4 linked regions of the Rhinolophus ferrumequinum genome follow. The protein of the gene in region 4 purifies or fractionates together with the protein of the main gene of each other region. This does not show direct contact. Links are inferred from orthologs where the notes say so. Each region holds a gene or a part of one and is shown on either strand. Other genes may lie near its edges. The genes, in order: TRIM33, SMARCC2, SKIL and SMAD2.

Evidence for each region.
Region 1: the proteins of SMAD2 (region 4) and TRIM33 purify together in Homo sapiens (affinity purification with western blotting; 7 studies listed by BioGRID and IntAct, with this or other methods). This does not show direct contact. The link is inferred for Rhinolophus ferrumequinum from reciprocal best matches to the Homo sapiens genes SMAD2 and TRIM33.
Region 2: the proteins of SMAD2 (region 4) and SMARCC2 purify together in Homo sapiens (affinity purification with mass spectrometry; 3 studies listed by BioGRID, with this or other methods). This does not show direct contact. The link is inferred for Rhinolophus ferrumequinum from reciprocal best matches to the Homo sapiens genes SMAD2 and SMARCC2.
Region 3: the proteins of SMAD2 (region 4) and SKIL purify together in Homo sapiens (affinity purification with western blotting; 8 studies listed by BioGRID and IntAct, with this or other methods). This does not show direct contact. The link is inferred for Rhinolophus ferrumequinum from reciprocal best matches to the Homo sapiens genes SMAD2 and SKIL.

The regions. Positions count from the first base shown.
Region 1 is NC_046305.1:45,233,792-45,241,435, reverse strand, and holds the start of TRIM33 (E3 ubiquitin-protein ligase TRIM33), read left to right. Parts: upstream 1-4,315; 5' UTR 4,316-4,391; coding exon 4,392-4,917; intron 4,918-7,644. UniProt on the Homo sapiens protein: Acts as an E3 ubiquitin-protein ligase. Promotes SMAD4 ubiquitination, nuclear exclusion and degradation via the ubiquitin proteasome pathway. According to PubMed:16751102, does not promote a decrease in the level of endogenous SMAD4.
Region 2 is NC_046293.1:55,536,006-55,543,952, reverse strand, and holds the start of SMARCC2 (SWI/SNF complex subunit SMARCC2), read left to right. Parts: upstream 1-4,500; 5' UTR 4,501-4,574; coding exon 4,575-4,685; intron 4,686-6,733; coding exon 6,734-6,853; intron 6,854-7,411; coding exon 7,412-7,497; intron 7,498-7,933; coding exon 7,934-7,947. UniProt on the Homo sapiens protein: Involved in transcriptional activation and repression of select genes by chromatin remodeling (alteration of DNA-nucleosome topology).
Region 3 is NC_046285.1:71,964,403-71,972,563, forward strand, and holds the start of SKIL (ski-like protein), read right to left. Parts: upstream 3,117-8,161; 5' UTR 2,777-3,116; intron 1,179-2,776; 5' UTR 524-1,178; coding exon 1-523. UniProt on the Homo sapiens protein: May have regulatory role in cell division or differentiation in response to extracellular signals.
Region 4 is NC_046302.1:39,315,810-39,323,873, forward strand, and holds the start of SMAD2 (mothers against decapentaplegic homolog 2), read right to left. Parts: upstream 3,257-8,064; 5' UTR 3,168-3,256; intron 2,967-3,167; exon of another isoform or gene 2,497-2,966; intron 2,223-2,496; exon of another isoform or gene 2,139-2,222; intron 1-2,138. UniProt on the Homo sapiens protein: Receptor-regulated SMAD (R-SMAD) that is an intracellular signal transducer and transcriptional modulator activated by TGF-beta (transforming growth factor) and activin type 1 receptor kinases.

The sequences.
Region 1 (7,644 bases), on a different chromosome or scaffold from region 4:
ACATCATAGGGGTACCAGAAGGAGAAGAGAGCAAGGAATTGAAAATCTATTTGAAGAAATAATGATGGAAAACTTCTCTAAGCTGGCAAAGGAAATAGATACACAAGCCTAGGAAGCGTAGAGTCCCAAACAAGATGAACCCAAAGAGGCCCGCACCAAGACACATCATAATTAAGATGCCAAAGTTTAAAGACAAAAAGAGGTTAAAGACAAAGGTTAAAGCAGCAAGAGAAAAGCAGTTAGTTACCTACAAGGGCACTCCCATAAGACTGTCAGTTGATTTCTCAACAGAAACTTTGCAGGCCAGAAGGAATTGGCATGAAACATTCAAAGTGATAAAAAGAAAGGACCTATAACCAAGATTACTCTACACAGCAAAGCTATCATTTAGAATCAAAGGACAGATACTTTTCCAGACAAGAAAAAGCTAAAGGAGTTCATCGCCACCAAACCAGTATTACAAGAAATGTTAAAGGTACTTCTTTAAGAAGAAAAAAAAAAGACAAAAAAATATGAGTAAAATGGCAATAATTACTGGGGGTGCCAAAAAATGTATACAAGTGTACACTTTGGTCAACGTTTCTCAAGCAGTCATTTGCTGTAATCAGAAGTGTCTGGATGCTGATGGTAACCACTTTGAGAACCTCTTGTAATTGCAGAAGTCAAACATGACTTGTATTCATCTTTTGTTATTGGTATTGAGTATTACAATTATATTGAGTATTACAATTTTAATAGTTTTCCTTTCTTAAAATGTGTATACATTTTTGTGGCACCCTCTGTATATACCTATCAATAATCACTTTAAGTTGATTAAATGATCCAATCAAAATACATAGGGTGGCTAAATGGCTAAGAAAACAAGACCCGTATATATGCTGCCTACAAGAGACTTCAGCTTGAAAGACACACACAGACTGAAAGTAAAGGGATGAAAAGAGATATTTCGTGAAAGTGGAAATGAAAAAAAAAAAATAAGCTGGGGTAGTAATACTTATACCAGACAAAACTGACTTTAAAATAAAGGCTGTAACAAGAGACCAGAAGGATCCAGTAATTCCACTTCTAGGTATTCGTCCAAAGAAATTCGAAACACTAATTTGAAAAGACATATGCATCCATATGTTCACTGCAGCATTAGCCAAGATCTGGAAGCAACCTAAGTGTCCATCAATAGATGAATGGATAAAGAAGTGACACATATAAAACGGAACATTGCTCAGCCATAAGAAGGAAATCTTGCCATCTGCGACAACATGGATGGACCTAGAGGGATTATGCTGAGTGAAATAAATCAGACAGAAAAAGACAAACACCAAGTGATTTCACTTATATGTGGAATGTAAAAAGCAAAATAAATGAACAAATAACACAGAAACAAACTCATAGATACAGAGAACATTTTGATGGTTGCCAGATGAAAGGGTTTGGGGGGATTGGAGAAGGAAGGGAAGGGATTAAGGTACAAATTGGTAGTTACAAAAATAGTAATGGGCATGTAAAATATAGCTTAGTTATTGTAATAACTATGTATGATGTCAGATGGGTACTAGATTTGTTGTGATCACTTCATAAGTTATATGTCTAATCACTATGTTGTATACTTGAAATTAATATATGTCAACTGTAATTGAAAAATAAAAATATTTAAAAAATAAAATAAAATGGATGCTGGAGTTTGTTAAACCAGTTTAGTGTTTACTGTCCTGTTGGATAGATTTAAAAGTAACGTAATAATTTAGAAATATTAGTCGTAAAATATCAGAAATTACACTCTTTGCAACTATTTACACTCATGATGAAAATTTGAGTCAACTTATGTTTGAGGGGAGAAGATAGTTTTTCAAGTTCTTTTCAAGGGCATAACACTTAGAAAATTGAGGACCATTTTTGTGTATGACCTTGTCTCCTCAATTCTCTTATCTCATGTTCTACTATTCTTTCCCTTATTTAAGCAACTCCAGACACACTGACTCCTTGGTGTTCCTGACAAGCCAAGAATCTCCATCTGTCTCAGGACCTTTGTACTTACTGTTTGTGCCTCTGCCTGAAACACTCTTCTGCAAGAGAGCCACAAGGTTTGTTCACCTATCAACAGAGGCCTTCCCCAATCCTCTCTAATCTCTTTTACTATTTTTCTTCATAGCATTTATTACTCCCCAACATATATTTTCAATCTTCCTCCATTAGTGTCAAAGGAACTAAAACAGAGTTTGGAGGCTGTGGGGACAGAGCCCCAAAAAGCAGTTTCCAGGCTCTCGGCCTCACATAGAAAGGTGCTGGCTCGGGTAGTAAATGGCCATCGACTGTGATCAAATGGCCATCAGCTGTGGCTAGTTGGCCGTCAGCTGTAACCAGTGAGCAATTGTCCACTAATATAACTGCTGTGGCTACGCAAGCAAAAAAAGGGGAGCTAGCAAGAAGATGGTGGCTGAGCCTGCAAGCGGCACAGTGAGGGTTGAGAATTGTGTTGCTCCTGGTCCCTGTGTCTCCAACCCAGCCGCCAGAGAGAATATAGTGGTATGACTCCCCTACTTATGGCTCTGTGGATGTTCCTTTTTGGCCTAGCCACATCCTGCGTTCTTGTGTGGGGAGTGGGACCAGAGACCCTGCAGGCCGTCCTGTGTGACACTTGGCGTAGTCGGCAGGATCCCCCGCAGGCCGCCCCGCATGACACATGGCGCAGTGAGCAGGGTCCCCCGCACGACAGAAGCTTTGACTAGAAATAAATGATTTATTCAAGGGTCTTCAGGTTTGCAAACTGGAAACACAACTAGGCAAAAACCCAGAAGTGTTCCAAAGAAGAAAGAGTTCTTATAGTAAAAAGTGCATTTTTGAGAATCAGTACTGCAGCAATAGTCAGTCCTGCACCTAAGATTGGTCCAGGACGGTTATCAGTCAGATGTCAGGTGGTCTTAATTGGTGAGTACTTTGGGTGTAATTAGGGTTATCTGGAAGTCGGATATATGTCCAGGCATTCCTGCAGGCTTGTAAATTTCAAAAGTTTAAATTCACAGGCTAGTTAAAACAAGAATAGAATTGTTTCCTCATACCAAAATCTACTTCATTTCAGTAATTTAGCAGCTTGACTATAAGTGATTCCATTTTATTTCTTCACTCTATTTCTCTTTAGATTGCAAACTCTTTGAAGGTAAGGATCTCCTTTGTCTCGTGCTGTAATCCTAGTTTCTGAAACACTACCTGATACATATAGTAAGAGGTCAGTATTTTTGAACGAATAAATGAAAAATGTTTCCAGGTGCCTTCTTTTAAGGACTTATACCAGCTCAAAGAATAAGTTTCTTGGGAACACTGTCAGAAGAAAGCACTTCATGACCCTAACATTAAAACAGCTGTTGCACTACATAAAAATCCCAAAGTACGTTTCTCAAATACAGATAACCCTTTCTGAAAGCTTCTATTACCAACATTTTTAGGGCATTTGTAATTCAACTCGCGCCAGGACACTAAGTGGGACTCCCAGAACATAATATTGGTTAGATCGGTGACTCCCCGAACTGATACACATCAGAATCAGCCGAGGCGACTTTTCAACATCCATCAGCCATCTCCCCCACTTCCTGATGCAGGTCTGGGGTGTGGTCTTGCTATCTTGGCTTTGAAAGAGCTCCTCAGTTGATTGGTTTTCCGATACGAAGCCACGTCTGAGACTCAATCACCTTAAAAAGCTAAAAACAGAGTTTCTTCTTCCCCGGGTTTTTTCAGCCTATTTCTGGCAGGCCCCCATTTAAAAAAAAAAAAAAAAAAAGGCCTGCTTACTTTCCACCGAGGGACAATCAACCACAAGAAATGGGCAGGTTAAAAAACAGAGACCCAGCAGGTCTGTACCTCCGGGCCGGGAAGCCTCGGCGTCCCACCGTGCAAATGAGGTTTCCGCGGAGGCGCGCCCACCTCTGGGGATGGCGTCGCTAGTAGGGCCACGCTCGCTCTGCAGGAACCAGCCCTGGCCTCCTACCCTTCCCCACTCTTCTCCCCACACCACCGTCGCATCTGAGCTCACAACCACCTCTAGAAGGAGGAATTCAGCGTAAACGGCCTCTGCCTTAAAAGCCAGCTGAATCGCGGCGGCGCGGACGCAACGCGCGGGCCCGGAGGTCGGGAGGGGAAGTTAAGACCGCTCCGCGCCCGCGCCCTGAGTTCCCGCCTCCCTCAGAGGACGTCCGTGCGTACGTGCGCGCGCACCGCCTGGCCCACTGCAACCGCGCGGCGCGAGGGCGGGGGCACCGCGTGCGCGCGCGCTCTCGTCCGTTCGTTCGCCTGCTCGCTCTCGGCGTCCGCTCTCGCTGCGGCTGCGGCTGGGGCTGGGGGCGGCAGCGGCGGCGCGGGCGGCGGGCGGCGCGGGGCGGTCCGGCGGGTTCAAAGAGGAAAACATGGCGGAAAACAAAGGCGGCGGCGAGGCTGAGAGCGGCGGTGGGGGCAGCGGCAGCGCGCCGGTAACTGCCGGGGCCGCCGGGCCCGCGGCGCAGGAGGCGGAGCCGCCTCTCGCCGCTGTGCTGGTGGAGGAGGAGGAGGAGGAAGGCAGCAGGGCGGGCGCGGAGAGCGGCACGGCTGGGCCCGACGACGGGGGGGTGGCCGCGGCCTCCTCGGGCTCGGCCCCGGCTGCCTCAGCCCCTGCGGCCTCAGTGGGCCCTGGAGTTCCCGGGGGGACGGTATCGACGCCGGCCCCCGCTCCAGCCTCGGCTCCCGCTCCGGGTCCCTCGGCGGGGCCGCCTCTTGGACCTCCAGCCTCACTCCTGGACACCTGCGCCGTGTGTCAGCAGAGCTTGCAGAGCCGGCGTGAGGCGGAGCCCAAGCTGCTGCCCTGTCTTCACTCCTTCTGCCTGCGCTGCCTGCCCGAGCCGGAGCGCCAGCTCAGCGTGCCCATCCCCGGGGGCAGCAACGGCGACATCCAGCAAGGTGAGCGGGAGGCCCTGTCCGAGGTTTGGGCTGAAGGGGATCTGCGGGGCCGAGGAGGAGGTGGGGACGGAGGTGCTGGGGCCCAGGGCTCCTAGGACGGCGCGATCCCGAGGAGTCTAAGAGGTGAAAAGACACGGCCCCTGGGACAGTTTCCAGAGGAGCTGGACCGCCAGAGATAACGCGGAGGGTGAAGGGAGGGGTGCAGGCAGCCGGAGACGGGGGGAGGGGACACCGCTGCCGGGGAGGTTTGTGATGTTCGCGTACGGGCCGGGAAGGCATGGACTCGGGCCGAGAGCAGGTTCGTGAGCTCTTGGACCCGTACTGGGGAGAAAAGGGGGTGTGGGAAACGGCTGCAGAGAAGCGTTTGGGGAAGGAAGGCCCGGAGCCGGGAGAGGTGTTGAGGAGAGAGGGAATAGGTAAGAGATGAGGGCTGTGAGTACGAAGTACCTGGTGGGAGAGGACTTGGTCTGTTCCAGACTAGGGGAAAGGAGGACTGGGATGAAATAAATAGAGCAGGATAAAGGGCAGTGGAGAGCTTGAGGTTAAGAGGAGGCATCTGATAGAAAGTAATTTTAAGATGACATTGGAAAAGAGGAACTCTGGCAACGAAAATGACTGTGAGGGCCCTGCATGGTTAGGGGAAAATCCTAAGGTTTAGGGTTGAAGGAGAAATGAACTTGGAAGGGAATTGGGAATTGGGGAGAGCTGGGCACGGATTTTAGTTCCTTGTACATTAACGAGCCCCTAGTGTTCTGGACACTGTAGGATTGACTAAAATACTCAATGAGGAGTTCATTCACGGTCTAACGGGAAATAAATGTAAAACCTACAGCACTTGAGGTGGGTACTTGCTGCAGTGGTTGTGGCACAATCAAGAGAAGGTCAGGAAAACGGCACTGAAAAGGAAACTCTTGAGCAGGGTTCTTGAAAGGTAAGTAGCTCACTGGATTGGAGAGTATTCAGGGTACAGGGCACGTTACACATCCCTGAAGCTAAGAGATGTGGAAGGTGATTGGTAGAAATTAGGTTGGATTGATGGGCTGAATAGGCAATGCCTTATCTGCAACCCTTGGGACCAGGTGTGTTTTAGACTTCAGAATAGTTTGGAAATTTTTCTTTTTTGGGGGTAAGGTTAATAATCCTCCAGTAGGGTCTGGGTTAACACATTATCAAACACATTACTATTTCTGTAGTGAAACATACAAATATTACACCAATGGGATAGACAATAAATAGTCTTCTGCAATTCAGGGTGAGTTTTGCGAATTTATGAAAAGAAATTTCAAAGCTTCTAAGTTATAGAACCTGCAGGTAAGGATTGTGGACCTGTATTAAGGGTTTTGGATTCATCCTGTAGAGTGTATCCTGTACAGTGTAGACATAAGGGAGTCCCTGAAGGAATTTTATATGAAGAGAATAAAAGTATTGCATTTGTGATCCACAGAGATCACTTGGGGGCATGTGGAAGGGTAAAGGAAGTCAAGGCTGGAGGCAGGAGCAATTAAGAGAATCTTGGCAGTAATCTAGGTAAGAAATTAGCATTTGGAATGGGTAGTAAAGGACTGATATCAGGTGTTAAGGAAGGGAGCATTTTGCTATGGGAGAAAGTAGCTCTGGGAGAAAGCAGCCATGGGAATTGTGAGTAGCCGTGGGAATGAGATTGGGGGGGGCACATTAAGATTGGTGTGAGGGAGAGACAACTTGTCTAGGCTGAGTTCCAAGTTTCTTGTTTGATGGGTGTCAGTGCTATTAATGCAAATAAAAGAGTTCAGGCATACAGCAGGTGTGTGTGTGGTGGAAGAGGGATATGATGATTTCAGTTTTGGGTGTTTTGGATTTGAAGTATTATTGAGACATGCAGGTGAGGATGTTACGTTAAGAATAAGCGTTTGATTGATGGAGAAGATACAAAATGATAATGGGTGTGTAACTAACTGCTCGTGGCCTCATGAGTGTAGTGAGACATGCGGGATTCACTGTTCTTATGGGAACTTGGATTAGGTGGGAGATTGGAGGGAACACAAGATGAAAATTGTGTTTGATTTATGTGGCTGAGGGACTGAGGTAGTGAAATTGGCTCTCTGATATTTCTGTAGGAGAGAGAATAATAGTCTCTAAATTCCCTCTTCATTTCTCTGTCCTTTGTTTTTGAACTAGGAGAAGTAAGTAGATGGGACGAACTACTTTCAAAGTAATGTAGCTTTCTAACTAGTATCTAAAATAAATTAAGTCTGGAAGTCACAGTGTTTTCAGGCAAGGAGTCTAGAAAATAATTTGTTAGTAGCTGTATTAACTTCTGTGTGTATGTTTCACTTTGCTCTTTAAAAAAGCGAACATGCTGTTCTTGAAGGAACACTGGTTTTGGAGTCAGGGGACATAGTTCTGCCCCTTAATTGTTTTCTGGTTCCCTCAGGTTCATCATGTCTCTGTCCTTCTGTTTTTTTATCTCTAAAATGTAGCTAATAGGCCTTCACTTATATCTCACTAAAGAAAATTAAATAATAAACGTGAAGATGCTTTTATAAACTGTGAAATGCTTTTCAAATGCAAGGTATTATTGACCAATGTGTGATTCCATCTCTTGTCTGGGAGCCATGGATGGTAGCTTAATTCACCATCTTAAGTGGTTCTGAAACGATCAGTGTATTCCCCTCCCTCCTAACTGGCCTTTTTCTGTTCCTCTGACACACCAGTCACTCACCCTGTTAGCTGTTCTCCAGATGTGGC
Region 2 (7,947 bases), on a different chromosome or scaffold from region 4:
TACTTCCATAAAGAGGTGTTTAACCAATAATTGGAAATGTGGGTCTGGAGCTTAAGAGCAAGAAGTTAGGGTTAAAGATGTGGCTTTAGGAGTTACCTGCCCAGAGGTGATCAAGAAATTCTAGGAATATAAACATTAAAGGAAAGAACAGGAAGAAGCCTAAGAAGGAGACCTGGGAGAATTCCAGGAGTAATCTAGAACAAAATCTGGAAAATAGATAAATGATAAACTTGGCTAATGCATCAGCTTTTTAAAAAAGTAATTTTGAAGTAATGAATCATTTAAATGTGGCTCATAAACTAGCTGTGAAGGAGTTCCAGAAATGTTTTGTACAATGACAGCATTCCTGAAACAAGTGTCAGTTGAGATCATTTTAGCTCAAGTCCTCTAATGATTTGCTTTACTGGATAAACTACAGAGATCCAAGCCTCTTAGCATTTGGAACAAGTCAACAATTTGGGATTATGTTAAATTCTTGCGTGTTAGTTTCTCCCCCATTAGCCTTTTAGTTACATAAAAGCAATTCTGATTAAGATCTGAGAATTTGTAGCTTTGATCAGTTTACGGTGGGATTAGCTAGTCTCTGGTTATGAGGTAGACAGAAGCAGCTTCATGAAAGAAGGAATTAAGCTAGCACCTGATTAGATTGGGGTCTCTTACTGGGAAGAATTAAGGATTAAAAAAAAAAAAGTGATTTAGGCAGGGTGTATTGATAATTGGAGCATGTATTTAATCAGATGGGGCGCTGAAGTTCCTGGACATGGGAATAATATGAAGAAAGCAGTGTTTTTAGAGATTTAAGTGTGGCGAAACTGGGGCACTTAGAAGGCCACTGGAGGAAAAAATGTCAGATATTTCTTAAGGTTGGAAACTAGATGGAATTATGAATAGTAGCATAAATGGAAAAGATTGAGAATGCGATTCTGGGAAAGGAAGAGAAGTTTTGTTTGTGTTTTAGGTGACATTAGGTCAGCTATGTAGACATATAGGCAGTTGGAGATAGAGGACCATGGTTTGGCTGGGAGGCCATGCCTGGAACAGTGGCTTGGGATTTTTTTCTTGGGAAGAGGGAAAAGAATGAAGTTTTAGTAGAATTCCACAGGAAGAGGGAGAAAGCAAATGAGATGGAGAAGGTGTTCTAAGAGAAAAACAATGAATACAATGTCTCTGAAATCCATTAAGAAATCAATGGTTTCAAACAGCAAAGGTTTCTACCTTGGGGTATTAAGATAGTATGGAGCTGGAGGCAGAGGGTATACATTTCATTCAAGAAAGGAGGTAGAAAATTTTTGGAAGTGTCAAGTGAAAGTGTAGTTTTGTTTGTTCTGAAATAAGGATTGATTCAGTGGAGTAGAATTTGAATGTGTTATGGAAGGTTTATTTATGGAAGGTTCCCTAGGAGGTTGAAATGAGTGGGATTGCAAGCCTAGACGAAGAAGGTTATTTAAGGGCAGACAGATGAGCAAGGCCAAATACTGAATCAGAAACTGAAGAATACCAGTGGGTAGAACGTAATAAATATGTAAGAATGGTGAGAGAGAGGTGGGCCTGATCGTGCAACACAAAGAAAGAGGATTTGTCTGGATGGAAGGGGAAGGATGAAAGAATCGGGGAGTTGGGGTGGGCTGTGGATATAGTGAAAATTGGAAATTATCTACTGTTCATGAAAGTCCAACGCCGTGGCCTCTAGTCCTCTAAAATTACAAGGGAAGCATTTGAGAGCAAAAGGTAGTATCTCCCAAATACCAAACCACCTCTGTCTGTTTCTGTTCTCCTTCTCAGTTCAGATCCTCCATTTTGTAAACCGTGGAGCCTTCTTCCTTTCACAACATAGTTGTCGGTTGCCCTCTGCTGGTCCTTGTTGGTCTTGGCTCTCCAGATATTTAAATCTGAGAGCGTGTGCAAAATTGGATGGTAGAAAGCTGAGCACTGAGCTAGTAAGATTCTATTACAGTACATATTTGATCACATCTATATAAGACCTAGTACAGGAGATACAAACAAATAAAACACACAGTCCTAATTCCCAAGAAGCTTAGAGTCCAGTCTGAGTGAAGATTAAAACAAGTACATATAAATACTGTAAAAACATCTATTTACTCAACAAAATTATTTTTTTATTGAGGAGGTTATATGTGCCAAGAATTTACATCTACAGGGGAAGAAAGACTTCACATAGTAAGATTAGGGCGTAGGATGTGGTGAGTGACAGGTGGTTAGAGAAGGCTTCCCAGGAGAACCAACATTTAAGTGGAGACTGAGTAGAAGGTGAGGATGAGCAAAATTATTGCAGGCAGAGAACAGCATGAACAAATACTACAGTAGGAATTAAAAGATTGCCATGGGTGGAATGTAGAGAATATGGAAGAGTGGTGAGAGAAAAGAGACCAGGTCATGAAACACCAAAAGCAGCTATGGAAAAGTTGAAGGTCTCGGGCATGCTTTAGTGGAGCTTTGCATATATTAACTTCTGTAGTCCTCACAGTGACCCCTATTTTCCACATAAAGGCTCCAGCAAGTGGTCCAGTCTGCACTCACTCCTGAGAAAAGTGGAGAGACTTGAACATATTTAAGAGGTAGAACATAATTTGTTTTTATTTTAATTTTTGCAGAGGCGTGTCAAAGGAGATGACTTGCATGCAATCTAGTGGATGGTGGTGGTAGCCTGATAGGTTCCAGCTGGAGTAATCAAGAGCCTCAAAGAGAAGGGGTAAAAGGATGTGCAAATGGAAAGTGATCATTCTGTGGATTGGAGGGGGGGAAGGAGACAGTGGTGAGGGTGACCTTGGAAAGAACAGCGTGAGCAATGGTATGAAGGCGGGAAATTCCAAAGTGTAAATGTTTAGAAAGCTCTATGAATTACCCTTGAACCCCCTGTCCTTTGGGGATTCTTTTTGGAGAAGATGCTGCTGTACAAAAAATGAAATACAAAAAGAACATCCTCCACAAGTGTCCTAGATATCCCCACAATCAGAAATTGTGGGTAGGAAGAACCACGGGAAGTGAGTATAGCAGCGTGACAGGTTAGAGAAGGGATTAATTCTCTAGCTTGGTTAACTACCTGACACATAATGAGGACTCAATAAAAAGTGATAATTATCTTCCCACACTAGCTCCAGCTGGATCTGCAGTGTTGGTTTCAGTAGGTTACTCTCCCTAGCTCTGTACCTGAGGTGCATCTCCTCGAGGAAATCCAAATGAGAGAATGCCCTGTTTCTTGGGTCTTCATTTGTAATCAGACCTACAAGATGTGACTTCTGGTCATGAAATCCAGAGGTGCCCTCTTTTCCTGGAAACGCCAGTTTTGACTTTTATAGCACAACAGGCATTTACATACCCAAACAAAACTTAACCCTTCTTCAACCAAATCCTTTGCTATTCCCTCCCAAAAGCATGAAACAATGTATGCCAAAGCTACAAGTCTGAAATTGCCTTGTATTCTAGCAGCCTATAAGGTTGTGCATAATTAAGCTTCCGTGATCACCCTCATCCCCCCCCCCCCCAAATCCAAAGGTGAAATCTTGAGATCTTCTGGCTTTTCTTTCCCAGACAGAAAGGAAAGTGCACGAAAGGCACGTGCGAAAACCAGGGATTCCCTTTATACTTCCTGAAGTGGTAGCGCGGCGGAGCCCCGGAAAAAGCTAACGTCACGAACAGGATTCGAACCTGTGCGGGGAAACCCCATTGGATTTCGAGTCCAACGCCTTAACCACTCGGCCACCGTGACTTCCAAAACCGCTCTTCTCCTCACACTTACAGCAGGAATCGGCATTGCGGGGAAGCCGTGCCGTTTCCACATACCCATAGCCACAGACCAATACATATATAACATCTTGTGACCCCCCCAGCCCCCGCTCCTTACCTCTCTCTACGCCACTCAAAGGAAAAGAGACGGGTCTCAAGGAGTGCAAAGCTATTTAGGAGGTGATGGCGAGACCTGCAGAGGAAGCACTTGGAGGGAAGGGGCTGGGCCCCGAGGGTGGCGGCTAGGGGACTCCTCGAGTTAAGGAGTGAAAAGGAGTGCTGGGACAAGGAATTAAAGGTGAAGAAAACTTAGGGTTTAAACTGGGAACTCCTGGAGTTGGAAGGAAGGACGAGGACGAAACATCTTGGGGAAAGGGGATTCCTTGGGATTAGGAGGTCCGTGGGGTTAGGAATGTGCAAGGTGACGACCACTTGGAGTGGGGGATGCCTCAGACGATGGGCATCCCATTAGGATAAGATACAGGTGCCACTTCCCGAGCAGAGAGGCAAAAAGGAAGAAGATTCCACGTCAGGTCAAGAGCGGTCTCAGGAGAGTGGGCGCCCCCTCCAGGAAGCAGACACCTCGCCAAGGCTCCCTCCGCCGCCGCCGCCGGGGAGGCCGCCAGGGTCGGTCCTGCGCCCTGCGCTCCGCCGCCGCCGCCCCCTGCCGGCCAGCAGGGGGCGCTGCGCGGGCCGGGGCCGGCCAGGGCGGCGGGAGGCGGCTGCCGTGGCGGCGGGAGGCGGCGGGAGGCGGGCGGAGGAGGAGGTGGAGGAGGCGGGAGCTGAGCTGAGCGGGGCGGGCGGCGGCGGCGGGGCCCGAGCCCGAGAAGATGGCGGTGCGGAAGAAGGACGGCGGCCCCAACGTGAAGTACTACGAGGCCGCGGACACCGTGACCCAGTTCGACAACGTGCGGCTCTGGCTCGGCAAGAACTACAAGAAGGTACGCGGGCAGGCTGCGCAGAGACCGGGGGCGGGACAAAGGGACCGCGGCCCCGCAGCGCCCCGGGATCCTGCCCACCCTCTGGCGGCCCGCGGCCCGCAGCCCCTCCTCCGCGGTCTCGGGAGCAGCCCCCACCGCGCCCTCCGGCCTGCGCCCCTCCTCCAGCCTCTCACCGGCCCCCCCTCCGGCCTGGGATTCCGGAGAAATGCTGCGCCCTCTGCCCCTTGTTTTTCTTCACTGCCCCGGCCGGTCTCGGTGCCAGCAGCCCACCCTTCCCTGAGCTATCGCCTTCCGGGCTTTTCCGGGAGAGATGGCCAGCGGTGGACCCGGTGTCGATCCCCCCCAATCAGCGTGCCCGCCACGGTGCCCGCCAGAGCCCCTCACGGAGCCAGGTACCAGCAGGGCTGAGGCCTCCCTGGTGCTTTGTGTACGTTCAGAGAGAGATGATGAAAGCAGGAGGGTTAACAGCCACAGAGCAGGCCCTTGGCTGCTCCATCTGCCTGAAAAAGGCCCCCACCCTGAGATCACCTGTCTGCCATTCGTCCCCACCTCCAGCCAAGCGACAAGAAATCCTCTTTGGGAGCCAGGGTATAGGAGTTCCTTGGCAGAGACCCCTTCTTAAACCATTCCTCAGTTGCACAATGCAGTCTCCCTCCACCTGGTCTTGAATTGCCTTGGTTGGGGGTTCAGAGGCTAGGGCACTCTTTATACCTCTAGCCCCCAGCACCATAACTGGAGATAATAAGGTAGTGAACAAAGAGTTCAAGAAGCCTTGCCTATCTTTTTTACCGAACCTTTTCCTGGTGTTGTCTTTGTCATTAGGCCTTGTTGAAAGGAACATCTAAACATATGGTTTTTCTCTGGAGATGGTCTGCCTCACTTCCTTCTCACTACCCTGAGAGGGATTCTGTTTCTGGCTTTCCTTCAGCTCCCCAGTTCTTCCTGCCCAGCTTTGCAGCCTGTCAGAAGTGTGATGAGTGGTTTAGGAGAATGCCCCTCTGTTCTTGGTTATGAGCTCTCAGAGGTCTCTCTGGGTGTCAGGATCCTGACAAATAGCTGCTGGGTCTGTGGCTTGTCTGCACCCCAGTTTGAGGCTCTGGTTCCCAGGCTTCTACCTTTGACCTTTTGGAAGGGAGATCAGTCTAGGGGCTTAGTCTCTGGCCCTTAGGGGAGTGACAGCCTGTGACCTGGTTCAGCTTTCAAGCTCTGAGCTTCGTCGTTTACCTTTTCCTTCAAGGATCTCTTTACACCTTGCACTGAGAAGAGCACTCTTCTCTGTGATTAGGGTTCAGGAAACGGTTCAAAAGGCAAAGAGAAAGTTAGCGTCCTGGCTCAGTTTTTAATTAGAAGGCTAGGATGCTAGGTAGCATACTATGGAAATGTTTAAGAAGGCCCAGGGTTACTTGTCTCAGATAAGGTTTCCTCAGAAAAGACAGGTGTTGTCTTGCTCTTTCCCACTAGGCTAAGTAGTAGCTGGTCCTTGTCGTTTAGGAGGACCTGCAAAGACATTTGTGCCCTGTTCCTAGCAGAAGCGGAATGCACAAGCTCCCTCTCTGTTTGCCCAAGCTCCCTCTCTCAGTCTGTTTTCCCTACCTCGTTTCCGTGCACCTTTCTTATTAGGCCACATTATAGGGGGAATCTTGGACTTCCACAATGTTACCCCAAGAAATACACTATTGTCTTGCTTAGAGCCTCAGAGGTATTGCTTTCATTGCCTGTCGAATCTTCAGGATTTTACAACCCTCAGTGCTTTTGGCTAGAGAGTTAGGGTCCTGCAACTCCAATTTCAGGGTGTAGCCAAGGCCCCCCCTTGTCCCCAGCACCCAACACTGGTAGCCTGGGCTGGAGGCAGCAGAATTGTAACTTCCTGGTGAGGGGCGTAGAGGGCCTCCCTTCTACCATTTTCGTTATAGAAACTTGACATGTGGGGGAAGAAGATACAATTTTCTCTGCCCCAGATGCTTCCAGAGCTCCTGGGAAAGTAATAAGGGAAATGGTGGACAGTTTTTCTGGGGTCTATTTTTCTTTTCTTTCTCTCTTTTCCCCAGTATATACAAGCTGAACCACCCACCAACAAGTCTCTGTCTAGCCTGGTTGTACAGTTGCTACAATTTCAGGAAGAAGTTTTTGGCAAACATGTCAGCAACGCACCGTTAACCAAACTGCCGGTGAGTGCAAAAGCAAGGGGGGAATCCTCCAAACTGGGGAGGGAGTGTTTTGTAAATTTCATGATTTTTTGATATTTGGGTAAAGTTTTTAGCATCTCTATCCTTGGTCAGCGCATTACTGCCTTGGTCTAGTCCCCAACTTACCACTCCCTTTGTTTTAGTAATACTTTGTACAACAGATTATCTCAGAGTGTCAGGTCAGTGCATGAAACTATTGTGTTATGATTAAAAGGATATGAGATTTGAATTTACACAGGTTTGTGTTCAAATCCTGGCTCTGCCAATTGGTGTCTCTGTGATCTTGGGTTAAACCTTTTGGGTCTCGGTTCCTTCATCTTTAGATGGGATTAGTATACCTACCTTGTAGGGTTTCTGTAATGGTCAGTGAGGTAACCCAGTAAGTGCTTGGCACAAGGTGGCTTTGTGAACATTGGTTTCTTCTCTCCCCTCTCCCAGGCCACATGATACAATGGCACGGGGTTTGTGAAAGGGTTGTTAAGTAACAAGAGAATTGTGGATGTAACTGTCATATACTTCTTCCCTGTCTCAATTTTGTAGATCAAATGTTTCCTAGATTTCAAAGCAGGAGGCTCCCTGTGCCACATACTTGCAGCTGCCTACAAATTCAAGAGTGACCAGGGATGGTGAGATGCCCTCTCTCTATGCTTCTTACATTTAGTTTAGAGGGAATTTCCCCCTTTGATTCCTTGGGGTCGTTCTGGGGTGGGAGAGCATAGGTAGACGTCCTTATGAGTCTCTTACTTTGCTACATCAGTAGGCCTGACTTGCTAGGTCAGAAAAACGGCTTGGAGTCACAGCCAAAATAAGTGTCCAAAGTGAGTGTGAGTGTGAATGTGTGTGTATCAGTGTGTGTATTGTAGAGGAAGGTTAGCATCTCAAGCTTTCCTTTGTCCTTTTGGACTGAGTACAAAGTGAATTGATATCGATAAACCCTGGTGATTTTTGTCACCAGCTGTGAGCAGGATTGCCTCCTAATTTCCCATGTTAAAAAGTCACATACCCTAACGTCATCCCCAGACCTGAGCTATACCACTCACTAGATTATCACCTCTTCACAAGGCGGCGTTACGACT
Region 3 (8,161 bases), on a different chromosome or scaffold from region 4:
GAACAGAATTTAAGACTTGGGGCAAACAGAGTCTCTTTTCTCCTCCAACCTGAAAACAAGAAATGGACTCCCCTTCCAACACGGTCTGGGTGAGTTCTGTGGAGCTATCAGAAGGGATGAGCAGTGGACCAGGAAGAACTTGAGGAGATGGAAGAGGCAGAAATACAGTAGGCGACATGCTTTCTTGGGAATAGCGAGCAGAAAATGCTGCCGGTCCACCCAGAGAGCTCTGACTACTTAAGTGGAATTGTGCCAGAGTGTGTTTCAAACTGGGATTTAAGTGTAAAGGCTCAGGCACAGAGGTACAGCTTCGCTTGACATGCTCTCCGTCAGTTTCCATTGGCGCTTCATAGTCCTCCAGGTGTTCCTTCTTTACTGTGGGCATCTTGTTTATCATCATTTTTCCATTGGCATGTCTGTCTGTCATCATTTTTTTCACTGGAGGGCTGCCATCATCTTCCATCCCATTCATTTTTTTATTTGAGCCCTGAACCAAGGAAAATTTTGTTTGTAGGTTTTCCATTGCTAAAAACTATTATGTTAAATAAGTAAATGTGAGATTTGCATTGTTAGCTGCTTATTTGCACAAAGAAATGTATACCAATACTTATGATAGCTTACTCTCAGAGAAAATTTGAATTTCCAAAAAGAGATCTCCCTAAATTACTCAATAGACTTTGCAACTTTGTTTTGGTTCTTATACTCTAGTATAATTTCACTCCAAGTGCTATAAAATTTCTTGTCTCCAAATATAAATTTAAAGAGGCACACCTCTGAGGAAGCCTTTCTTTCTTTTTAATTCTTCAGATATGTATTAAAAGTTACCAATTCTCTCAATTCAAGATTTCCAGGTTCAATGCAATGGTTTGGTTTGGTTTTAAGCAAAACAAGTGAAAAGTTTATGCAATTACTTGTGTCATCCAAACCTAGACACAAAAACAAGTCAAAATGATGCACCCAAATTTAACTTCTGGCACCAAGGACACCAAAAAAGGAAAAAGTATCTTCTCTAAAAATGATGATCTGTCATTCTGTGTTGACAAACTGAAGGCTTGCATAAATTGTCACACCAGTAAGAAGAGCCTCTGACTCCACTTGTACTTCTATAATTAAAGGTGATTTAAAGAAAAATTGCCCAGTTATCTTCAAGGATTACGTTCATTCTTCTTTTAATTACTCTGAAAGAGAAGGGGGATGGGGGAAGAGTTACATTTGAATTTGCTCCAGAGGCCAAAGGGTCAGTTTGAAACCAGTTTCTTAATCTTAAACTGAGTTCACTTTTCCAAAGGTGACACTTGAGTGATTTCTTTAAATCTAACACCAGTTAATGAGAACTTTCATTTAAATAGAAAAACAATTCGGAGAACGGGTAAAGGGAGCAATAATACCCTCAAAAGGAAGAGGAGTACTCCAACTCAGAACCGGAAGAACCTTAAACATATCATCTCAGCCAAAACTCAGTACCAGAGGCTTCTCAGTTATGCCATTTTAACTAAAACAAGGCAATACTTCATCGCTTAACTTAAAAAAAAAAAAAACACCAATTTCCTCCCCCCAAAATATCAGATACGAATTAACATATCTACCGTATGCAATTAACTTACAAGCTTAAGTGCATTGATTCATCTAGTCAGTGTGCTCTTTTTCTGGAAGGACTGGAGATAAAAATTAACTTTCCTTTAAAAGGTTAGTGAATTTGCTTAATGGAAGCCAAAAGTTATAGCCTCCACGCCTGGGCATCTCCATCCTTGAAGAAGACTAATCCGGGACAGAAAGCACAAGGCAGACAGACCTCACAAAGAATGAAAATGGAGGAAGGAAAAAGATTCTTCTTCTACTTCTCTCCTGAGAGAAAATCCAAAAGAAAACCAATAAATAGAAAATTTTGCCTCCCAAACTCCCAGAAATTTATCTTAAAACAAATCCAAAAGATGAAGGACCAAGGCCACTAGTCAACGTACTGACTGACTCTCGCCCACCACAGGAACACCTCAGCCAACGCAAACCAAGGGAAGAGGGCAGGAGGCATGACCTAGAATGGGGGAGTCCCCCAAACCCTGAAATCCTCCGCCCACGCAAAGCCACCCACCCGTTTCAAACCCGAGGGGGAGGAGGAGGAGTGGAAGACAGGGACCCGGGACGCCTTGGGGTGTGCAAGGGACTAGTGGGAAGTGGTGGAAGTGCAGTCCCCCAACCCCCACTCGCGGTCTCAGGAAACCCCAAGTGCCATCCTACCCCGGCCCCACTGTGGAGGCCGCGGGGAGGACTGTGGAAATCCCCCGTGCACCCTCTGCCAGGGAAGTTCTCGGGTGTCACCCCAGCACCCCTAAGGCTACACCTCCGCCCGTCGGGGGCCAGAGGGAGAAGGGTCAGCGAGCGGGTGGAGCGCCGACCAACCCGGTCTAGCCCGGGGCATCCCCGCGGAGCGCAGACTCGTTGCGGGGTGACCGGGGGTGGGGGGAGGGCGGTGTTGACGGGTGTCCCAGTCTCCGGGGTCCCGACGGCTCGGGTCAAGTGCAGAGCCCTTCTCCGGCCCACGCCCACCGGCCGGAGTCAGCGAGGCAGGATCCGCCGTAGGACACCCGCCCCCGCGCCCCCCTTGGCCCCGACCCCACCCGGGACCCGCGCATCCGGACCCCCGACTCCGGCCTCCACGCCCGGGGAAGCTCGACGAGCTTTGTTAACTCCCCACTACCCCCGTCGCTGCCGTCGGGCTCCCCGGGGGCCGCGCGCCCCCTGCCTCCCGCCGCGTCCCCACAGCAAGCCAGGGCCGCACCTGTGCCCGCCGCCGCCGCCGCCGCTCGCCTGCTCCCTCGGCTGTGCCGGCGCCGCTCCGAACCCCACACACATCGCTACACACAGCCCTCTGACGTCACCGAGCCCTCGGCCCGCCCACGTCACTGCGGAGACACACGGCTTCCCGCAGACGCCGCCGCCGTCTCCGGCCGCCCGGGGGAGAGCGAGGGCGGCGGGGAGGAGGAGGGGAGGGGAACGGAGCCAGCGGCGGCACCGCGCGCGCGGGCCTGCCACCGTCGCCTCACGGCTTCCAGTTCCTCGGGAACGCGCGCGCCGTCTGGCCTATTGTGGCTCCTCAGGGCTCCCCCCGCCCCGTCGTCTTGCGCGCGCGCCCCTCCCCCCCAGGCGCGCGCCCGGCGCTCCTGGCCCCGCGCGCCGTCTGGGCGGCTGGCGCGCGGCGCTGTCTGCGGTGCACCCGGCGCAGACAGGATGTTCCCTCCCCGCCCCACCCCCACCGTCGCCCTCTCTCCTTCCTTCCTCGAGTCGCCCAGCCGGCTGTCTGGGGCCGCCACCGCCCCGCCCCCGCCCCACCCGCTGCTCTGTGGTGACGGGCCAGACCCGGGGGCGCCCTGGCCGCTCGGCCGCCGAGCGACAGGGAGAGAGGGGGCAGGGCAGCCGCGCCGTGCACTGTGCACGACCCCAGCAGCCGGCTGGGCGGAGGCAGGGCCCGCCGGGCCGAGCGCTGCCGCCCGAGGTCAGGCACGGGCGACCCTCCCCCCGCAGGGCCGCAGCTGGGCCGCCCCGCCCCGGAGGCAGCCGGGTAGCGGCCGCCCTGCGGCGCCCCCCTTGTGGGCCCTGCGAGTCCGGGCTGCACCCCCCCCGCCCCCGCAGGGCCTCCCGCCTGCGGACCGCCCAGCCAGCTGCCTGCGCTTCGCCCCACCCTGGCGGCCCCCGCCTTGCCTGGGCAGCCTCCGCCCAGACGCCTTCCCCCGACTGACCTCCATCCGCCTTCGGGCCAGGCCGGAGGGCTGGCCAAAGTTCCGGCGAAACCGGGAGAAAACATTTTTGTCCCTACTTCTCAGCCTCCCTCCTTATCAGACTGCTCTCTCAGTTCCAAAAGGTAGAAATTACATGTTTCTACAGTGTATACTGAGGGTTTTTTGTTTTTCGTTTTGGAGGGGAACACAAGATGTGACGAGGAAAGATACGACGTAAGAGCTTCCGGCTCTGACCCTCAGGGTGGTCCTCCAGGTCTGTGACCCTCCCTGTCTGTGTCCCCAGGATAGGCAATTAGCATATAGAACTCTGCCGATCTGCTCCGTCATATTTCGAAACACCAAGAAATCCCCTTTTCTCCACCCCACCGCAAGATCAGGAACTGAAATAGTCCACCACGTCGCAATGCACAGAATTCAGAAGAGTCGAGCTTTGTCCCTTTTTTTCTTTTTGCCCATTTTCGAACAATTTCTCCGGGTTTTACTGCTTCGAGGGTCCACATTTGGAGCCTGCCGTAGTTCCCCCCCCCGTTTTCCTCCCAACGTACCTACCAAAGGCTCACAAGCCTCTCATTACCCCCAATCCCAAGTTTCTCTCCTTAACGCCCCCATCGCAGTGCTCCGAGGTCGTGCCCCCTCTCCTACCCACCCACCCCCTTCCCCTGCTTCTTGACTGCCTCCTTTCCTGAACATGAATAATTCCGCAGCACTTCCCATCTGTTATTGCCATAGAGACAGAAGCTCGGCAAAGATAATGATGTTGTGTGCAGAGCTAGTGGGGAGAGAACAGCATCTGCGAGTCTGGGGGATAGATTTTCTAACCGCGAGAATATTCAGAAGGCCCTGCTGAAGCTCTGATGTGGAAGACTGGACAGTCCTGGGACTTGGCATCAGGTCAACTCTTGGCAAGTGACTAATGTCTAGTGAGAAGAAACAATTTTTAGAAACCAAAATGACAAATTTTTTTTAAAAAGTGATTCCAAACTGCAATTAATAATACATGTTTAGTACTCATTTTATCAGCGATGAAAATAATTACTTGCTAGCATGTCCAAAGGCCTAAAGACCAAAATAAATTGATAGTAAATAGACTTTTAAGAAATCAAACACATTATTCCCTGACCTGTTCTTTTGATTTGCTTTCCCCAGGAATCTGTTTTTTTGAAAGATCTTTTGTGCCAGTGATTTCACGTACAATGGTTTGAGAAATAATGACAGGTAAATGTGGCTAGAACCAATCAAGCTTTGAGGGCATTTTTTTTTTCATTATTCATCAAAGTACAAAATGTACCAAATTAAAATTCACTTTGCCCTTGAATTCCCAAGGTCTTGGCCTCAAAGGTACAAGTTTGAAGCAAGTGAAACTAAACAGGATTCATTTACATAGATCGTATGCATATGGGGATGCTCACACATTTTTGCAGACCTACTTAAGGGTTTTCAGAAATTTTCAGTAAAATTGATTGTGTATGTAATGTGACTTTAAAACACTGAAACAAATGATAATGGTTCTTTATCTCAGAAACAGAACTGAATGGACTCAGAGAATACAGTCCTTTGAAACAATACGCACTGTGAGGTAATGCATATTGTAATTTCCACATACTGATGGTCTTCATCGGTGTTGAGAAGTCAACCTAAGTATTGGTTAGTAAATAGCTATTAGATGAGTTTCACATAGACTCTGACCACACTTTCTTGACTTGCCGACAGATTCTGAGCAAAGCCACTGTGAGAGGGTGGGCCTGTGTGCAAAAGAGTTGGAGGGTAAAGGGACCCTCCCTACCCATTGTCTCATCTTCCATTAAGCAGTACAAATAAAAGATCCAAACTAACTGGTACTAGGTGGTCTAGAATTTCTTCTTCAGTAGTTATGGCCATCTGGTAATAATAGAAACCAAGAATTTAGAGGTTATAAATTCCAAGACCAGTTCTGCCCTGTGACCTGAGAAATGGTTTATTTAGGGCAAATGATTTGGAGCAAATGCTTTCTTCTTGGCCCCATTTACTGATCTGTTGATAATGACCTAATATTAATAATGAATATGAAAACAAAAAGGATAGGATAAAGAGCAACCAAAAAAAGATAAAGTGGGGCCGGCCTGGTGACTCAGGCGGTTAGAGCTCCATGCTCCTAACTCCGAAGGCTGCCGGTTCGATTCCCACATGGGCCAGTGGGCCGGTTCAACTCCTCGAGTCCCACAAGGGATGGTGGGCTGCGCCCCCTGCAACTAGCAAGGGCAACTGGACCTGGAGCTGAGCTGCGCCCACCACAACTAAGACTGAAATGACAACTTAAAGCTGAACGGCACCCTCCATAACTAAGATTGAAAGACAACAACTTGACTTGGAAAAAAGTCTTGGAAGTACACACTGTTCCCCAATAAAGTCCTGTTCCCCTTCCCCAATAAAAATCTTAAAAAAAAAAAAAGAACTTGCCACTCAAATGCAAGGATTGCAAGTTGATTGACAGCTTTAAAAAAAACAAAGTATTTTTATATTTATGAAGGAGGGGAAAGAAAAAGTCAAATAAATGTTAATCTAGCATACAGTTACCGGCTTGTGTTTTTGTTTACACCTTATGCTCTTTTCCAAGGAAGAGAAACCAGTTGTCACTTGATGGTTCTAGTGCTTCTCCTCCCCCTTTCCTTGATCCTCAACAAAAACTACCTTTTTGAAAAACTTTTTTAGCAGCAAGTCAGATGCTACAAAGTCCTTTAATTTCACAGAAGAATCTCAACTATTTCCTTTTCCATCTCATTTTCTTTTGTAGCTTTTCATCTATTTCTACTTGTCAGAATTATAATGCTGATGATGATGATGATGATGATGACGCTTTTTAACTTCCTCATAGCATTTTAATCTTTTTCTTACCTATCCTTTTCCCAGTGCACTTTACTCCCCATATTAGTTTAATGCTATTGTGCCTGCTAGTGCAAAGTCCCTTTTTCATCACAGACTAGGCTTTCTCATCGGGGCTTCTTCTCCTCTTAGCTGCCAAGTCAATACTGGAACTACAAGATCCCAATTCCCATTTTCATGCTTTAAATAAGATGAGAAACAGATGCTTAAAAACTACTAACCTCCTCTTCCTGAATAGTGCCACACAACTGTTTTTCAGGTTTTAACTTGGGCTCTGTGATATTAGAAGGGAAGTAAGAAGAAAAGAATAGCCAGAAATGGTAAAATAGAGAAAGATCATGTTAGAAATCACTGAATTTTCAATGTTTAAATTGCAATAAACTGTAAAATCAATTAACAGACACATTAAGTGTATTTCATTGTCAATTCTAGGAATTTCATGAGTGTTTAGAAAGTTTGGCATAGTTTGATTTATTGCAAATCAGGGACATTTCCTCTGTTGCTTTTTTTTCCAAAAATAAAGGGGAGGAGTCATAATTAGCTCTGATGTTGCCAAGCCTGATTCGAAACCTGCAAGTTGAAGGTGTTGTCAAATATATAGTGCAGGACTATAAGTAGCTCAAAGTGCTTCACTCTTTCCTATGAGATACATACAAGAAATTCCCTTTTCAACAAAAGAGTAGAGGCGGGCTTAGGTTGCATGCCAAACCACTTTGCTGATCAGCTGCAGAACAGGCGTTAGACCCAAGTACATTTGACCCACCTCAGTGAAATTTCCATTCTTCATTTCCTCACTGCTCTTTGTGTTCATTCAAATAAGCTATAAGGACTGATTCAGATTAGCCAAAACAGAGCAAATATTGAAATATATAGGTAGCATTGTACCAAGCATTGTGGTATATTTATCACAACCCACAGTAATACTTATCCTTACTATGTGCAGTGCCCTCTGATACTTTATCCTGCTCCATCCTGTGTTTTTGTATTTCAATTCACTACTAATGCATTGCAGCCTACAGTTTAAGAAACAATGCATGAAAAAATAATAATGTTAACATTTATATAGTGGTTACTATTTAGCTCTATTCTAAGCACTTCACATGTAAAAACTCATTTAATCCTCACAACAACCCTATGAAGTAGTGGCTATTATTACCCCATTTTACAAGTGAAGAAACTGGTGCAGTTGTGCTCAAGGTTACATAGCTAAATAAATCCTTCCCATTGAATTGTGAAAAATATTACACATGATATTCAAATCTGAATTCTATGTTGGCTCAATCTGGATGTAAAGAAGTAGGATTAAAGTTTATGTTATTAAAGACCCCAAGTAGCCAAAGAAATCATAAGAAAGAAGAACAAAGCAGGAAGTATCATACTTTCTGATTTCAAGCTATACTATAAAGCTATAGTAATCAAAACATTATGTTACTGGCATAAAAACAGACAAATAGACCAATGGAACAAAATGGAGAGCCCAGAAATAAGTATATAAACATTCAGTCAACTAGTATTTGACAAGGGAGCTAAGAACACTTAACAGAGAAAAGACAGCCTCTTCAATAAAT
Region 4 (8,064 bases):
ACGAAGCCTGCCTTTGGAATCCTAAAATACAAAACTTAACAAAATAAAAACCAAACAAGGAAAGCATTCAGACCCTTGTAAAACCCACAACTGAAAATATCCGCAAAATACAGAAATCGGGTCTATAATCTGCAGGTTATGCAGCTAAACTGAATGTTTTACACTCACATATTTCCCCCCAATGTGAAGTTTACAGCAGCAGCAAGATTCTAATCTTCAATATGAAAATGAAAAGAGGACCTTTGCCATCTTTCAGTAGAAACCTTTGTTTCTATTAGAGAATTTCTGCTGAAATATATGACACCATCCCCAAATCCCTACTTAAAGAGTTAAAACACATACCAAGTCTGACAGGACACAAACAGAAAATTACCCTGCAGTTTCTTACACAGCTATTTTTTTAATGAACCTTACAGATCGTAGATTTGACCACTTATGACTAGGAACAACCAAACTTTTGTTGAACACCTACAATGTGAAATCACTTTAAAAGGTATAGCTACAAAGTATAAAAACAAAGCTCTTTCTAAGAACAATTTCTTACTAAAACAAGCCCAGAAATGGATGTTTCCAATCACATTACATTAATACTAGCCAATGAACTACTTTAAAGTCAATTAATTGTGACATTAGAAGAGTATAAGTGGGCACTCACCTTAAAAATGCCCAGAAGACTTGAATTATTCTTATTTACTACCACAACTAATTTTATGGCAAAAACTAAGGAACTTTAAAATCAGTGTTACTTTCTGAATTTACCATAAACGTTTGCTAAATGACCTTTTGGTCAAACAATTCTATTGATTTCCTGTGTGGTTTTCCCAAGGCAAATAAAAAAATCCTCAAACTGTGATACATTTATGAAATCCACTTCACATTATTTCTCCCATCTCTGTGCTACATTTGCTTATTTACTCACATTAAAACTCCTCAATCTTCATTTAACTGGATTTATGAGTATACTTTTTTTTTAAAGCAAGTCAAAACTAGAACAGAAAAGGTATTTTCAGAGTAATAGCAAATTTGTTATCTTATTAGACTCAAGAAAAACATCCTTACAATCAGTGGTACTGGTTCAATTCATATAAAATCAGAGAAAAAGTGAAAAGGAACTAAGATTATAGAATCATTCAGGATCCTGGAAGTTAATTCAAATTTCAGGGACCAGTTTTGAAAAGATAAAATTACTCCAAGTAAGTTCGCATGATCTTTTATTTATCAACAATTACTTTACATGTGTCATTTAAAAAGTTTAAAATTTAGGATATTCCAAACTGTAACAAGACATGACTGATGGAAAATGCTACCTCCAACTTCATTTTACCTGGAGACGTTTTCTTAAATAAAGGTTTAGTTGACAACAAACTGGTAGTATTTAGCTATTTAAAGGGTCGAGAGGAAGGAATAACAAAATCAACCTAGGCATTGTTTTTCGTTTGTTTAGGACCAAAAGGAAACCATTAACCATATAAGGGTTAAGTAAGTAAAGGACAAAAGTATCCAACCCAAGGACAGTATCCCCCCAGGAGAAAACAAAACAATTAAAGTTGCAAATTTGAAAACCAAGTTTGAAATACATGAGATCAATTAGCGTGCCTTCTAAAGGTGTGTGATAAAAACTAACAGGCTCCACTCACAGAGCAACTTTTACAAGTGAGTAGAGAAGGAGCTCGACAGAGTATCAGCCGTGTGCATGTTTGTGTGAGAGTACACACAAGCAATTCAGAACCCTGAGACTATAATGGTTAACAAAGGTTACACGACCAAAAAAAAGTGGAAGCAAAGTATTGCACGCTACTAACACAGCTTCCCAACAACTCCCGAAACGAGAGCTCGGTCCCTCCGGCTTTGAAAATCAGAATCACAAACTACCCAGTGTTTTCGCGGCGGAGGGGAAGGGCCCCAGCAGGCCCCCGCCCCGGACCCGGCAGCAGGCAGCTCCGGGCGCGGACCCCTTCCCTTCGGCCTGCCCAGCCCCGCGTTCCCGCACCCCGAGGGCCCGGGCGCACTGCTGCCCCGACCTCGCCACACCCCAGCCACCAGCTCCAGTGGCCGTGCGATGGGGCGAGCCTCACCGACCCCAGCCCAACGCAAACACACCCCTAACCCCAAGGGCCCACCGGGCGCCGCGGTTTTACCTGGACCGAGGCTCCGGGTCCCGCCCGGTAAAAGCCGGGGGTCTGGGACCTTTTGTTCCTTCCTCTTCCGAACGGGATGAGGGGCTGGGAGGGGAGAGGGGAATGGGCGATTGGAGGCGGAACTGAAAACACTCTCGCGGCCGCCCGGCCTCCCGCCCCGCCCCCTAACCAGTGCCCGGCCCGCGGCCCCGGCGCGCGGGGAGGGGGCGCGAGCCCGGCCGCCGCCCGCGGAAAGGAGGGGGTGGGGACGCGCGTCCCGCCGCCGCCGCCCCTCCTCCCCTCAGGCGCGCGCCCGCATCCCCCACACCCCGGGCAGCCCGGACGACCGAGCCCTACCCAGCCGCGCACGCCAGCCCACCTCTGCTTCCGCCCTGCGCCCTCCGCCGCCGGCCGCAGCGGCGCGGCGCACCCACCTCCGGGCGGCTCGCTCGGCGCTCGCTGGCTGCTGGCTGGGAGCTGCTTCTCCGCCGCCGCGGCCGCGCGGTAGACCCGCCTCCCACCCCGGGCCGCGAGCCCCGCCGATTCGCCAGCGTAGCCCCGGGCTGGCACCCTGCCGCCCGCTGATTGGCGCCCCCGGCCGCCCGTTAGGGCGCGAGGCACGCCGGCCGAGCGCAGCGCTCGCCGTGCACGGAAGACGGGGCGAGCAGAGGAGGGAAGGAAGAAGGCTGAGTGCCCGGGAAGGGCCAGAGCGCGAGCAGGGCTCCGAGAGTCGCGGCTACTACCTCCCCACCTCCTTTCCCTTCGGCCCGCCCCGCCCTCCCGGGCCCGACCGGCGGCGCGCGCAGCCAATCAGCGTGCGAGGTGCTCGGGGTGTGAGCCGCGCGTCGAGGGCCTCGAATCGGAAGGGAGACGTCGCTCGCTGATTGGTCCCGCCTTCCCCGTAGAGCGTGAGGCGAGGCGCGGCCGGGCGGGCGGTCGGCGGCGGAGGACTAGGTGGGGTGGGACGCTCGCGGTTTCGGCCGACTTCGTCTTCCGCGCGCTCCCAGGAGAGGCTCTAGGAAGGGAGGAAGGAGAAAGCACGCATCCTACCGCGCTGGGAAAACAGCCCCGGGCGATCACCCATTCCTCATTGCCTCGGCCCTGGACCCCTGCTCGGCCTCTCCAACGCCATTGGGTGGAGCCTGTTGGGGGCCGCCGCCTGTCCCACCTTCCAGCCAAGCCGGGAGTGGACACGTGCTCATCCCCTGGGAAGGCCCGGGTTTGGACCAGAGGACTGGACGAACCATAGACATAAAAAGGGTTCCGCGGGAGCCGCGGTACCCGACCCACACTGGGCACGCCCATATGCAAATGAACGGGCGAGTGGGCGGGGTCCGAAATGTAAATAAGCGCAGGGCGGGGATCTTCTATGGGCATTAGCGCCAGGATAGGGAATGCCAGGTAGTTTTGTTAATAATCTGAATCTTGTTTCTCTCTTTGTTAAAAATGGTGCTAATAATGCATGATCTCAACGATCCTTGTAAAGTTTAAAAGATAAGCACGATGTCCCTCAAATGCTGGATTATCTTCCTCTTCATTTCTCCGCTGTTCCGGTAAATTGCATAGGCCCAACTTCACACATTGCGCTGCAGAGCTCTAAGCTTCTACTGGCTGCTCAAAGCTGGTGGGGGCCCCGCGTAACTTGCTTTTACCTTAGGACACCCTAATCTCTGCTGAAATATTGACCCCAACTATCAATCACCTGAAGTATTTATTAAGCACTTACTACGTTAGGCAGGGAACACCATAGAAGTGGAAGAGAAAGTAAGGTTTCACACAGGTAGTTGGTAGCAGAGACAAGACACGGGTTTTCTTGGCTCCCTGTCCAGCGCTCAGTCGCATGTGCTCCTTACTTAATGGATTTCATTAGGGACTCAAGCGGGAAAGAGGCATTAAGAATACATCTCAGTAAGCAGGAAGTACCAAATGACCATTTCAAAAAGTTCTTGAAGTATACCCTCTTTTCAGAAATTAAGGCTTCCCTGAGGAAGGTGCCTTCTGGAGAGATTTGGCCATTCCCTGAGTCTTACAAAATCTTCATTTCCACCGTCTCTCTCCTCAAACATCGAAGTACTTTTCTCATGGAAAGGTTGTGATAAAGAGCATGAACCCTGGAGGTAGGCAAACTGTAGTTTTGAATTCAGCTCTGTTCCAAATCTGTGATCTCTGGCAAATGGAACTCACCTGCAATGATAGCTACTCAAATGTAGTTGTGTGGTGATAAAATAAGTATCAAAGTGAACAGCACAAGTCTTTAAGTTAAAATAAATAATCGTTAACATTTCTTCCCTTCTGTTGCCTGCTTGCACTTATGCTAAAATGAACCTACTTAGTAGAAATTCGTCCTTCAAAAGTTGACCTCCAGGGTGGTTTTCTTCCATTGTCAGTTTAGAGACAGCTCTACTCACCCCTTTTTAAAAATAGCTTGTGAGGGACACCCAGGAAGCCAATTGGTGGAGCTCTTCCACCTCCTAAGCCTCTGCTTCCACTTCCCAGAGCCACCAGGGAGGGTGTCTAGGGCAAAGGCTTCTTCAGTTTAGAAATAGAAAGGCTGTTTCTGGTTTTTGGTCCTTCTTCCTACTAGTACAAGACAACCATTTTAAAAAGCTACCCTGGGTCATACAAATATCTTCTCCTATGTGATCACAGTGTACATTTGAGTGTCCATTTGGGTGAGTAGGAGTAGAAACAAAAGCAGGGCTGGCTGGGATTCCAGACGAATCTGCTACTAGGATGGGAGTTAGGTACTCTGAAGGGTATGTGACTTAAGTGGATGATATGCTTGAGGTCTAAGTTAGACCATCTCTCCAAAGTGTCAGTCTTTGGGTCCTTAACTCTTCTATTTAGGACGCCTTCTTAGACCTGTAGGATTGAGGAAAGGGGAGAAGGGACAATCGGCTACCAAGGCAGTCCCCAAAGGGTTTAGAAACGGGAGCAGGCGTACTGTCCCCTCTGCTAGAAATGCAGCTAAACCAGTGACAGAAACTGGGTCAAGACAGAAACTGAAGAACTGAAGGCGGATGGAGCAGGAATTGCCGTGGCAACAATCAACTTGAAAATCCACTAGGGTACCTCAAATAGGGTACCATCAGTAGGTCCCTACTGTATAAATTATATTGAGTGAATTTTATTTTTATGTGGATAGACACCAAGTTTAACCCTTCATTACTAATGACACTGCAAAATCAATGGAAGCAGAATCAATTCAGAATCAATTTAAAAGTAGTTAAATGTACTGGAAAGACACATAAGAAAAATAGTGATGGTAGTTGCTTCTGGAAAAGGAACCTGGAAGTCACGAGTGGAAAACTCAAATTTCATCATTATTTCTTCTGTAGTTTGAATTTTTCAAAAAAGTATATCCATGTGTTGATTTTTCAAAAGACCTAACTCATAGTCCATCTCATCTTTAAATCTGGAAAGCCCTTCCTGGTTACTCCAACCCAAAGGATATCACTCAGCTATGAATTTTCTTTCATGGTCAGAAGAATATACATACCATGAATTTACTTTAATTAATGTCTTGATCTGTTAGTTTAGTCTTGAGCAGTTTTTTTTAGCTTCTCATGTATGTACGTTTTGTCTCCCCATTTAGATCGTACATTTCTGAAGTACAAGGACAGCATCTCATTCTCAGTTGTCTTCCTACACCCTTACCAAAATACTAAGTAATTGAAGAAAGGTGAAATACAACATTTGTATAGCAGGAGAAGGCTATGTGTGTCATAGGTCTGCGAGCATTCTGCACAGCTTTGCCCCATCCTTCCAATTTGTAACTGCTCTCAATACAGCTATTGATTATCTTGTCAACATCTAATCTCTGTATTTGCTCTCCTGGTAGAACTAAGTTGCAATGGGCATTACTACATCTTAAGGGAAGATCCAGTTATTTGCAACTGAAAGGACACTGATTAAATGAGATAACCTAAGTAAAAATTGTAAAGAACAAAAGCATGGGGTTACTGTTGTTGTAAATGATAATGGAAAAAAATCCAACACCAGTTGGATTTTTATCTCAGTACAATGAAATTTTATGTTTTAAATGAACTTATATTGATGTGTACATCTGCCTCTACACACCTACACCCACACCTACACACACACACACACACACACACACACACACACACATTCGTTATTCACATGCTAGTTTTTATTAAAAATGAAAACTATTGGGGCAGCCAGATGGCTCAGTTGGTTAGAGCGTGAGCTTTCAACAACAAGGTTGCCAGGTCAATTCCCGCAAGGGATGTTGGGCTGCGCCCCCTGCAACTAAAGATTGAAAATGGCGACTGGACTTGGAGCTGAGCTGTGCCCTCCAAAACTAGATTGAAGGACAATGACTTGGAGCTGATGGGCCCTGGAGAAACACACTGTCCCCCAATATTCCCCAATAAAATTTATTTTAAAAAAGAGCATCTCAGAAATGCCTTTAAAAAAAAAAGAAAACTATTTAACACATTATGGGAAATGCTGGAAACAGAATGAAGCATACATAAGAAAACACAAGAAAAAAGAATTGAATCTAGCAAGTGTTTACCAGGTATCTGTTATGTGCCTGTCATAAAAGTATTGGTTGATCACGATGGAAAATTATTATTCTATGGCCAAAATCACTCAAGAATACAAACCATACAGGTAGTGTCTTTTAGATTTAAAGAGAGAGAAATTGAGAGAGAAGTTGGCTCTGGTTGAGAGAAAAATACTTGGCAAAACAAGTTATATTTCTCATCATTCTCCAGACATCTGATAATTAATATTTCTTGGCTGCACATATAAAGGCATAAATGATCATTGGATCGATTGAACATTGATAGCTAATCCAGTGATTGCTCAAATATGATTTGGAAAATTACAAATCCAATGCAATGAGGGCATTTAAATATTATCTAAGATCTACATATTTTAGTAAAAAACTAAATGGGCCAATGTCTAAACCTTGAAAAAAACAAATGTACAAATTATTTAAAGTTCTGTTGCGAGGCGGGATAATTTGGTAGTGATATGTCAACAGTAGGGTCTTATGCCTTATTTATAATTATCTCTGTGTGACAATATTGACTGAACCAGGCTGCTGCTAGGCAGGATAAGTGTGTGGAGGTATAATACTCTTGGGGAAATTTCATGCATATTAGCATAATTGTTCTGATGAAGACTGAAAAGCTTATTTAACATAACTGACTAGAGTAGACAATAGATGCATAATCAGTGTCTTAATGATTGAATTAATGAGCCCCAGTTGTTTGTCCTTACTGTAAACAGTCCTCAGTTTTGAAAAAGACATTTTGCTGAAGGAATCTGACAATTATGTTAGCTGATGAGTGGCCAGAATTAATTAATGGTGGGAGAGAGCCAATTATTAATGGGTCCTAAAGACTTCTTCAATGGTATATTTCAATGAGTAAAATATATAGCTACATAGCAGTTTCGTATCAACTCCTCCTTGCTTTCATATAATCACGGAGCTTGACCAATGCTCTTATTTTGTAGCTGAGGAAACCAAGGACCAGTCTTCTCCAAAGTTCTATGGCCACTTAGTGCCAGGGATTATACACATAGTGGCTACCTTTCCTGCTCTGACCCTGCTCACTAACTCTTCTACCTGTCCCTGGTCTCCACCCTCACACATGCCTTTGCTACTGTCTTCAATCTCCCTGTTACCATTACTTTCTATGGATATATCCTGACTGACTATGTCGCAGTGAAAATAGGGGCGAATTTCCTATCCATACCTAAATGCCCAATAGTAGACAAACATGTCTGTCTCCAGATCCATCCTTCCACCACTTTTTGGGAAAGACCTGCTCCTCCTGGAGAAGGCTTTTTCTTCTACCTATTCTCTGTCCCGTGACTCCCCAATCTAGATTAACACCCCCACACATATACGAGTCACACTATCATATTACCTTTTAAATTTTTCTTCAAAATTCATCACTATCTGGAATTA